Linked DNA regions of Drosophila melanogaster. The protein of the gene in region 1 interacts with the protein of each later gene in a pairwise test. Each region holds a gene or a part of one and is shown in the gene's direction. Other genes may lie near its edges.

Region 1 (2,962 bases):
GAGATGGATTTACGGCTTGCTGCCGCCAGAAGGAGGCGATTCGCCTGCTGCCAAGTATGCACTTCCTGTCGGTCCATGTAGTCCGTAGTTCTCGAATTTCATGAATGTCGGACCAACTTGAGCGTATATAACACACACCGTGCTGTGTGCTGGATCAGGCGATTCCGGGCACATGTTGCCCAATTCGGGCTGTTGGTTAATTACCAGGCTAATGCTGCTCGGAAAGCCCCGGGCCATTCGGTTAAATGCGTCAAGAGATTAAAACTTTAAATTGTTTGGCGATAAGCACGAGTGCTGCGGAGCCAAAGAGGTTGGCAATTAATATAATTTAACGCCAGGCGATTGCCATTCCATTTAACACAAAATGCGGATTGATCCGACGCACTTATTTTCGCCGAGCCATGATAATACATATTTCTATAATATTTCTCTGTGAGCTGTGAACGCCGACGAGTGGAGATATAAATAATTGGCGCTGACAGCTTGATAAATGGCTTTTCAGCCGAGCTAATGAAACTAAAACATGGCCAACGAGAGCACAATTTTCGGAGCGTTCTGTAGCGCGCTTTAAAATTAAGATAATGCAGCAGACGGTAACACGGGACCACGGTGCGTATGAGTAGCGCAATTTCCTGCCTGGCTGCTGCCATTTACCATTTGCCTTTTTTTGCTGCCACAGCGTGCATGTGAAATTTTTTTTTAGCTTCATTTCAGCCAGCTAATGCGAATGATAGCAGCCATAATATATTTGCTGCCATTAGTGTGCGCTGCACTCGAGCATTCCTCAAAATGCGGCATTATCCAGCCGTACTGCCACAACATTTTAGGGACCTTTCTTTGCACAGTATTCGCGGCATTTTTGGAAACCGTGACAAAGCGCAGCGAGCTGCTGAGTGCTCAATTTATGGCCAGCACCCCTACCCCGTGCCCCTGCCCCATCGCTTTTCCGCGCCAGATTTTGCCACGGCCCACAAATCCGATTTCATTATGGAAAACGTGCGCCGAATTAAAAGTAGATTTACCACAGTTACAACAAAGGACGAACTATGGCGAGTGCCACGGCAAACACTCAATGCAGTTCCATTCAGTTCTCGGTCCTGGATGCCCATCGTCTTCCATTAGGAGATCTCTCTGCACTTGGCGGACTGCAGGGAATGCAAGGGAAGCCAGCCAGGCGGAGAAATTGCAGCGACAGCGAGTGCAATTGGAGCTCAGATATATGTGCATATAATTTAATGTATGCGCACTCGGATTTCACTGGCTTAGCTGTGGATTCTGCTGCACTAAAAATGAGCTTGGACTTCAAGTTGTAAGGTACAGCAACTAAATAATACAATCATTTTGTATGGGAATTGTATCTCCGTAATACACAATTCATAGATTTATGGATTAAAATTGTATTTATTTTTAAGAAACTAATTTGACACCTCTGCTGTCGAAAAGTTTAAGAATGTCAGAAAATCCGGACTAAACCGTTTTAAGCCCATTCGTTGAATAAATAAATCTTGTATAAATGACTATGACTACATTTTTGTAGCTTTTATAATTATTTTTTTTAACGAGCTCTGAATGAAGTTCGTAAAAAACCATTAACGTCTGGCCATTTGTAAATATTATATGCTTAAATGTATCTCACAATTAGTTTGTTTTAATCCTGCTTTTTGCACTATATAATCAGGCTATAATAAAACAACTTGTTTGCATAATTAATATAACTGTATAATCAAAGCCTACTATACTTATAATTATATATTTTTTACCATCTTATTAGCCTTGAGTTTTAAATCAAGCGAACAATTTTTTGGTTGCCGATCGATCACCGTATAGAGCTCAGTTGAACATTGAAATTCGTACTCTTCGGACGGTAACGGAACAAAAAATTCCTAAATAAATTTCCTAGTTTTTTTTCCGGCAAAACAAGTAACGTAATTTAATTGTACTCTTATCTCGACTATGGCTTATGTCCAAGTTTTGCAGGACAAATCAATTCACCATGTGCAGCTATCCTTGCTATCCTTGCGCCGCCTTGTGTCCCTGCGGAGGCAGTGGACCAAGTGGATTCTACGATCCGTGCTTTGGACCCTACAACGGACCATTTAACTCCTGGTGCGGAGCAAGTGGACCCGGTTTCTGGAGAGGTGGATGTTGCTAGTTTTTGTCATGAGCTGTAGGATTGAGCTACTTTCTCACACGGAAAAATTGGAATTGCTGAACGTAAGCTGGATACACTTTTAAAAATTCTATTTTTAATATACAATTCAAAACAGATCTCTTGCAAGGAAACTAAATTACCGTCCCACATGAAGAGAGAAATGTTAATTAAATAAAGTGTTCAAAATACGTTTATTATTATTGTAAAGGGGTCGTGAGGGTCGTGCAAAGTACCAAGTGTCTAATGCCTACAACTTTTAAATGGTGTGCAAAAGCTTCCTTAATTTCAGGTTCAAGAATCTTGTGTCCTGTGTTCAGGACTCTACCTTCGCAGGCAGTTAACATAATCAGGTCTTGACAAGCAATCTTTCGCTATGCATTGAAGATGAGTGCCCGCTGCCTGTCGCTTGTTGTTTCCGGATTTTGTCACTCCACGAAGTGCGTGGGATATAAATATATATATAGGTAGGTAGTCGGTCTCAGCTTGTTTGCCAGGAGACGGCCCTTTCGGATTTATTATGTTGATGCCGAGGTGCTGAAATGCCGATGTGTGCTGCGAGTAATTTGAAATTATGCGCGGCAACGCTACGACGTATGCTTAACATAATCAAATAACTCATACGCACCGTGTACACTTGATGAACAAGGCGATGTGCCAGCAGAGATATAAAAGAACCAACGAAGCAGCCAAGGTGAACAACTTCCAGTTCTCGGCATTTTCATTATCATAATTTCTAGTTGATTTCATTGAGCAGCCCAGCAGGAGGTAGGGAGCAATGGTAACAACCAGTCTGCCCGATTGATACGCTCA
Region 2 (8,210 bases), on another chromosome or scaffold:
AGGAGCTGCCCGATCAAAAGGACGCGGTCCAGAAGCTACCTTTGCCAAGTGCTGATTTTACGACCGCCAATTTTAACTCCATCAGCATGGACACCATTGTGCCTGTGACCGATATTGATGCCTTGTTATTGAGTACGCCACCAGCTGCTCCGCTGCTGCGCAAAAAGGCGCAGGGGCAGGCGCCGGGACACAGCAGCAGTAGCTCATCCAAAACGGAACGTCGCCGCCGCTTCCAAACGTTTCCACAGCCTCAGCTGCAGCTCCAAGCTCAGTCAATGGATTGTAGCGAACTTTATGACTTCTTAAGCTCTAGTTCCCTGAGCTCGTCCACCGATAGCGAGGCGGAAGTAGGTGGTCATCGACGGCACGACACCGATCGCGAGGGCGACGATGAACTCACCGACTGGCCGGGAAACGAATTCGGACCCGGAGCCAGATACGATCCAAAAAGGAAGCTTACAAAAAAATCACTACTGCCTCAAATTCGCTCGGATGACACAATTGGAGAAGATGACACTCTTATGTCTGGCACCGAAGCGGGAGCGGTGGGTATGGAACCGCCTTCGAAGTCTCCAGTCCAACTTCCAGAATCTCTTCAGGATCTTTCCCGCTTCCAACCAGCCGGCGTCTCCGAGCCTATCGAGATTCAGAATGCCTGCTCAGAGATGGAAACAAATGCAGATGGCACCATGCCGGCTTCCCGCCAAATCGAGAGTGAGATGTCCGGCGAAACCTCTAATCCGTTTCTTTCCTCGTCGCCTCCTGGACACGCCCAGGGACAGGAAGTACGTGAGATACGAGCAGGGTGTCGCCGCATCAATGGCGAGCGTCCAGGATTCAGCATCAAGATGAGCGTCAATGAGCGCATCGCCCGATTTTTGCAGGATTCGCAACAGACACAGATCCGTTTGCCGGATATAGAGCTTTATGAGACCGATAGCATGAGTAATCTGGCCACGCTCTATTCACTTACCATGGTGGTAGAGCACGGATGTACAGTGCTCACCAAAACCGGGTAAGGATAAAGGGATACTTATTCAAAGTCTATAACTAAGTTGTTGCTCTTCCAGGAACACTACGCAGACGGTGAGCATGGATCATCTTCAACAAGGTCTGCAGCCGCGTGCAGATCTCTTTGGCGATTTTAAGCGGCGCTGCTACGGTGAGGAGGGAGAGGAGGAAGGAGAGCAGCAGCAGCCGCTTCAGCAAGATCCCGGCCAGATTTAGCCCCAGAAAGCAACACTATAATCCAAACAAGACCAATCCCTAGCAAATGCAAACGTACAGCCATCAGCACTCGAGGTGAAACTCTTGGCATACGCTTGCATTTCTAGGGTGGAAGAAACCCTTAATCTATGAATGCTTTTAGCTTGTTTTTGTGAAATCTGTTCCATGTACATAAGTTGCATCGGTCCGTGTATATACTAACTGACTTCGTTAGGGAATGGCGCCAGCAAGACGGATACCGGATCCCAGATCCCGTCGGTTTGGGCTCACGCTTGGAAGCGAGCGAGATGACACGTTTCAGAGACAGAGAGAGAGGACCGACCGAAAGCCGTCGGCAGCCGTTCCACTGTACAAAATATTTAATGTAAGACCTTCAGCGAATATGAATATAAGAAATATATATGTGTGGTCATATCCGGAATACATGTGGACTTCATTTTTACCTAGAATGTGGTGGATATTTTATATAAAAGAGCAACATCCCAATACAAATCAGTAGCAAAAGTATATCTGAGTATATCTGAAAAAAATTTGAAAATAGTTCAAACTCTTTCTGTTAGTTGTACCGGTCACTGTCTATCTGAAAGCTGAATCGGTGAAACGGGTTATATTGCATACTGTTTTACGATCAAAGGGCGCGAAATTCAAATGAATTCCATCAAACTTCCCACCCTCGCGAAAAAGTTGGCGCATGCTCGATGCTCGGCACTTGGCGCTCACTTGGCAACCCTCATGTGTGTGCTGGTGAGGGTCGGAAATTGAGGGGCGAGTGGGTGGAATGGGGCAGACAGCGCCGAGCTTGCGTCAAATACGGACGCCAGTTGGACGCAGCTCGGGATTGGAGGCAGCCACGTTTCCTAGCCATCTGCCGTGTGTGTCGCAGCGACTGTGTCTGTGTGTGCCGTGCTGTGCTGTTCCGAGCCGCATGTGTGGCGCTCCGCGGACGCGATGTAAAGCGGATCCTCGCCAGCGTTTATCCTCTCATAGCCAGTAACCGGATTCGGATTAAGCTGGCCCAGCCTGTAGCCTATTCTCAGTTTTTGCCACCGCTCCTGCTCGAAACTTCTTTGTCAACCGGCGAGGCTTGTGCTTTTAACGCTTTCACCAATAACGGTATTTTTGGGGAGAGCAGCTTTAAGGGGAAATCTCCTGGCAGTGGTTCTGAATCGGTTGCACTGCATCCTGAAGGAAACAACAGTGGCCACTGGCACCGCGGAGCATTTCCACGATGCGATGCGGTTGCTCTGCTTATTGATTTTTCACCAACACTCACCCACACACATACACTCGCACGCTGGCACCCACACACTTTCAGCCGCACACACAGTCAGTGCTGGCACCTCGGCCATTTTGTGGCTGGAAAAAAAGCCATTTTGAAAGCGGAAGTGCAGCGTCAGCCATTTTCGTTGAATGTCTTCCTTTTGGTGGGCACTAACAAATGGATCTGCATGTCTTTGAGGACCTCAGCTAATGGTTTTTAAAATATTTGTCTGTACCTGGTGCGCATATGCGATATGCGAGTGAAATAACACTATTATTATCGTGATAGATTAAATTTAAACGTGAATCCAGTTTACCATTGCAATTGAACTGTGGCAACACTGCCTGAGAAAGAGAGGGAGAGTGCAGCTTTGGTGGCTTGTGGAGTCCGCGTCCGAAAGCCATACACATACACACTCGGAAAGCCGAGGTAATCTCTTATCAAGCGACGACTGCCCACCCCTTCTCCGGAGTCATCCCGTTCTTTATTGCACTTACATATTTTCTATGCACATATATGTACATGGGGAACACACAACATTAGTCGCACATCCATTCAAAAAGTTTCAGTTCATTATTGTATTGTAATTCTACCCAAAATATACCACTCTACTTTTTCTATTCCCGCAGAAGCGCTGTCATGAGACAGGAGGTGTGTGTGAGCATGTGCATCACCATCTCGCTGTCGATCGCGATCTCCCACTCCCTCCGCCTCGCGCTCTCCGTGTGAGATTTCCCGCCCAGGGTGGCGCAGTTGGAAAATGAGCACGTGCGAGGCGGCGGCCGCTGGCGAGAATGGGAGCCAGGCCAAGTCCGAGGAGAGCCAGCCGCCGGAGGATCAGAAGAAGAAGCAGCCGCAGCATGAGAGGAACGAGAAGCAGCTGGATAAGCCGCCGGAGAATTTGCCCCAAAACGGGAAAACCGAAGCAAAAGGAGCAGAAGGAGCGTGTTCACACCCCCCACTGGATGCCCTCCGGAGCTCAGTGCTCCTGGATGCCGGTGCTGCTTCGCCCTCGATAGACGCAATAGTGGCTTGCAAGGATGCACTGCTCGCCCAGAAGCTCTTTGCCAGCGGGGGTGGCTCCACGCCCGGTCCCAGTCCCACATCCTCTGCGGTGGGCGCGGGCGGTATCAGTGGCAAGGACCTGCTCAAACTCAAGGAGCCCATGCGCGTGGGCTTCTACGACATCGAGCGCACCATTGGCAAGGGAAATTTTGCAGTGGTCAAGCTGGCCCGGCATCGAATCACCAAGAACGAGGTGGCTATCAAGATCATTGACAAGTCGCAGCTGGACCAGACAAACCTACAGAAAGTCTACCGCGAAGTGGAGATCATGAAGCGCCTGAAGCACCCTCACATCATTAAGCTCTACCAGGTCAGCAGAATTTGCTGTGGCAGATCCTGCCAAGAATCGTATTCCTAATCCCGTTCTACCAATCCCACAGGTTATGGAGACCAAGAATATGATCTACATAGTGTCGGAGTATGCCAGCCAAGGAGAGATCTTCGGTGGGTTGAGGCTTCATTTTAAAAAAAATTTTTTAAACTCGGACTGTAGAGTACAGTACTCGATTTAGTTAGCAGACTTTTGAACCCACATTGCGCACAGACTTGTTGACCTTTGGACGAACAACACTAGCTTTAAATCTCTCGCATTCTCTTAAGTTGATAAGGGTTTCAATGAGATGGACTTACCTTTATATTTTATCCAGATTACATTGCCAAGTACGGGCGGATGTCCGAGTCGGCGGCGCGCTTTAAGTTCTGGCAGATCATATCGGCGGTGGAGTACTGTCACAAGAAGGGCATAGTGCATCGGGATCTCAAGGCGGAGAACCTGCTCCTGGATTTGAACATGAACATCAAAATAGCGGATTTCGGGTTCTCCAATCACTTCAAGCCGGGAGAATTACTGGCCACCTGGTGCGGATCACCGCCGTACGCAGCTCCCGAGGTTTTCGAGGGAAAGCAATATACGGGTCCAGAGATTGATATTTGGGTAAGTGGTGCGAAGTATACGTGTCAATTTATCCAAAAATGTATAATTTCCTGCAGTCACTGGGCGTCGTGCTTTATGTGCTGGTATGTGGGGCCCTGCCCTTCGACGGATCCACGCTGCAGAGCCTCCGGGATCGGGTGCTTTCCGGTCGCTTTCGCATTCCGTTTTTTATGAGCTCCGAGTGCGAGCACCTCATTCGCCGGATGCTGGTACTGGAGCCCACAAGGCGGTACACCATCGACCAAATCAAACGCCATCGCTGGATGTGCCCCGAGCTGCTGGAGCACGTCCTGATAGCCAAGTACAATCTGGGCGCCGAGCGGCAGACGTCCGTGGAACCCAGCGAGGACATTCTTCGCATCATGGCCGAGTATGTCGGCATTGGGTCGGACAAGACGCGAGCCAGTCTTAAGAAGAACACTTACGACCATGTCGCGGCCATATATCTGCTCCTGCAGGATCGAGTTAGCCACAAGAAGGAGCAGAGCAACGGCTTAGGCGCCAGCGCCCTTGCCTCGTCGACCTCCGCCAGTCGGATGATCTACAGCTCCAGAAATGACCACCAACCGACGCAGCAACAATCGCAGCAGCAGTCCAAGACAATATCCACCAGCTCGATCCTGGCCAAGGATCAGTGCCACAAAAGACTTAGCCGCCATCAGACGGTACTCATGAGTGAGCGTAACGCCCACGCCGGCGCGACACCCACAGTTCCAGATCCCGGTCCCGGATACTACGCCAAGTATGGCCCACTGCAACTGCCACTGCCTCTGACGGGCCACTCCCACCTGACTGGGTATCTGAATGGAGGAGGCGTCGAGGTGGATGCCAGCGGCATTCCGCTGCCCATGCGGTACACCCCGCTGCCGACAGCCGCGTCGCCCGCTCCCTCTAACTGCTCATCCACATCCTCGAGGGTAGGACGACACAGTCTAAGCTCCAGCTCGCCGCGAAGCCATCGACCGGTGGCCATTTCGCTCAGCATCGACAACAACCCCTCGCTGGCCAACCTGCGGTGCAGGGAGATGATGGAGGCTGGAGGAGGACCCGTTGGAGCAGTGGGTGTGCCTCTAGCGTCCAAGCAGCTTCATCAGACCATCAGCGAGTTCATCATCAAACAGAGCACCGAAGACTGTCGTGCGCTGCTGCAGCAGGTGAGTTTTCGGCTGATTCTATCCCAAGTTATTTCTATCCTTATACTTTCGGCAGTCCACAGCAGTGGCTGAGGGTAAAGATGATCCGCCAAAGGCGGAATCAAGCGTAGGAGGCGTTCCTCCGCCCGCCTCTACCACACCCACATCCAGTACAGCGGGACCGGAATCGGGATCGGCTCCCTGCCCTGGTGAGATTAACGGCAAGACAATAAAGACTATGTCCAGCTCGAGCAGCTTCGATTCTAAGGCCAATTTGGGCCAAAGCTTTCGCTACAAGATGTCCGCCGAGGCCAGCAAGCTTTTCCAGACTCTCCAGGAAAGCCCACTGCCCGTGGAGGTGAGTGATACGTGTGAGTTAATAATTGCTTCCAGCTGACAAATTCCATTTCCTCTCCAGCAAAGGACTAAGCGTCGTGTGCACGTGGGCAGCACCAATGGCAGCGGCGGTGACTCCGGCCAGGAAACGAATGATGCGAAATCGAATGGCGACAGGTGAGTCTTGCAGTCACAGCGATAGTTTCTTGACTAATGTCGTTTTCTTCCGTTTCCGCAGCCGCTCGGAGAAGAAAGTTCTGGCCCAAGGCAGCTCCAGCACAGATGAGGGCTGCGAGACAGACCAGGGCAACGATCCGGGCTCTGCTTCCCAGGAGTCAAAGGGCAGCAATGGCGGCGGTAGCGGTAACGCCAACGGCGGACCCACCTCGCACTCCAGCAGCGATCTGACGCGGCTCGTTGGAACCACTACCTCTGGACAGAGTCACAAGATGCGCTCGTATGCCAGTAGTAGCTCGTCCAGTGGCGTTCTCGCCGGGAGCGCTGGTAGCTACTCCAAAAGTCTGAGCCAGAACCTGAGCCGCGGCTCGTCCAAGAGCAATTGCAGCGGTCCCTACGATAGCTTGGACTTTGCCTTGCCTTCTGGCAAGGGCAGTCTACCCTCGTGCATGGGCTCAAGTTCGATGCTGGCCACGCCCACTCCGGCCTCGGCATCGCCAGCGGGAATCTCATCGGAGCATTCATCGGAAAGATCGCTGTACGGGAGCCACAACTCCTGCATCCATATGCCAGGAGCTCTGCCGTTGGGCTTGGGCCTTCCTCAGAGTTCAGCCTCCACGCCCACGCCGAATCCTACGCCTCCGCCAAATGGCGGTGGTGTCACGTTCCTGGACAAGCGTTCACCCATACACTTTCGCGAAGGAAGACGGGCGAGTGATGGCCTGGTGGCCCAGGGCCTGCTTAGCTCTGGTTCCTTGCTGGGCACCAGTCGTGTGTACGGAAGTTATCGCTACGAGCAGGCCAAGCGTCACGGTTGGCTGGAGATCCAGCAGCTGCAGCAGCTGCAGCAGGAGGCGGCTGTGGGGCATTCACACCCACATGCCCATCAACATCCGCATCAGCATCCGCATCCTCATCCCCAAGCGTACGGCTTGGAAGAACTCTGTCAATTTCCAAATGGTCAATTCTATGCTCTGCCGGGCAAGCATCATCCGCTGCTGACTTTGCCCCATCATCATGCGCATCCTGCGCAGCATCACCATGGCCATCATTCGCTGTTCCATTCAGGCCACCAAGCCACACCTCTGCTCCTGGAAGCCGCTGCTGGTGGGGATATGTATGGTCATGGATGCTATGCTCCGCCACCGCCGCCACCAGGGCTATACACGCACCATCAGTTGGGCGTGGGTATGGCCGTGCCCATGTCCCCGATGCAAAAGCCACCGCTGCAGCAGCAGCTACTGCAGCACCGCCTGCTTCAGCAGAAGCGTCAGTTGTTCCAGAAGCAGTACGCACTGGAGGCGCAGCTAGCCGGTCGACATCACCACCATCAGCAGCACAGCCATCACCACCATCACCACTTTGGCCACAGCCTGGGTCCGCCACCGCCGCCGGCTCCGGCTCCGGAACATCACCTGGCCGACGAGTTGTACGAGTTGGCCTTGCTTGATCGGCCCAGGAGCGGAACTCCTAGGCTTCAGCACTCCATGACCATGCCCGGAGCTCATGCCTTCAGTCAGATGAACCTCAAGACTTCCTACATCAGCCAATCGGACCAGGTGCCTGGTGCGGCGCCTAATGGAGCTGGTTCCGGAGGATCAGCTGCTGGGGTATCATGCTCAGCTCCACCGTCCACGGCGCCGGGTACGCCCACGGTCAAGTGCAAGCCTACCACGCCCCACGGTCACAGCCTGGACTCCGACTATCATGTAAGTAAGCTAGATAACGCATATTAAGATGATTTCTCAGGCATCCCAAGTTCGTATATAAACCTTATCCGTTTTCTCCTTGTGTCCTCCGCAGACATCGACGCCGGTGCTCAGCCTTTTCACGCCCAATTGGCAGTCGCTGGTAAAGCCGCTCAGCGAGAGCCCCATCCTGGAGATATCGGAGCACCTTGAGTCAGTCTGAGGCCGTGTGTGATGTTATTCGGTGGAGGGGTTGGGGCAATTCGAATGGGAGTAGATTTGTAAGTGGAAGTCGGTGGGAAAGGAAAAGGGGTAGGACTGGACATCGAACTATAATGGGGGCTGGACCGGGACCGGGGCCACCTTTTTATTAAGCTCGCAATCGCAAT

What was found.
Region 2: the proteins of CG31226 (region 1) and Sik2 interact in a two-hybrid assay, tested with the Drosophila melanogaster proteins (one large-scale study listed by BioGRID).

What each region holds. Positions count from the first base shown.
Region 1 is NT_033777.3:18,850,682-18,853,643, reverse strand, and holds CG31226 (uncharacterized protein), read left to right. Parts: upstream 1-1,845; 5' UTR 1,846-1,920; exon of another isoform or gene 1,921-1,925; intron 1,926-1,977; 5' UTR 1,978-1,993; coding exon 1,994-2,152; 3' UTR 2,153-2,214; intron 2,215-2,267; 3' UTR 2,268-2,339; downstream 2,340-2,962.
Region 2 is NC_004354.4:2,055,752-2,063,961, reverse strand, and holds the start of Sik2 (Salt-inducible kinase 2), read left to right. Parts: upstream 1-2,046; 5' UTR 2,047-2,340; intron 2,341-3,117; 5' UTR 3,118-3,248; coding exon 3,249-3,863; intron 3,864-3,933; coding exon 3,934-3,997; intron 3,998-4,200; coding exon 4,201-4,487; intron 4,488-4,543; coding exon 4,544-5,641; intron 5,642-5,696; coding exon 5,697-5,978; intron 5,979-6,038; coding exon 6,039-6,133; intron 6,134-6,194; coding exon 6,195-7,842; exon of another isoform or gene 7,843-7,851; intron 7,852-7,905; exon of another isoform or gene 7,906-7,936; coding exon 7,937-8,044; 3' UTR 8,045-8,210. Other genes in the region: CG4281 (uncharacterized protein), read left to right, coding at 1-1,015, 1,071-1,227.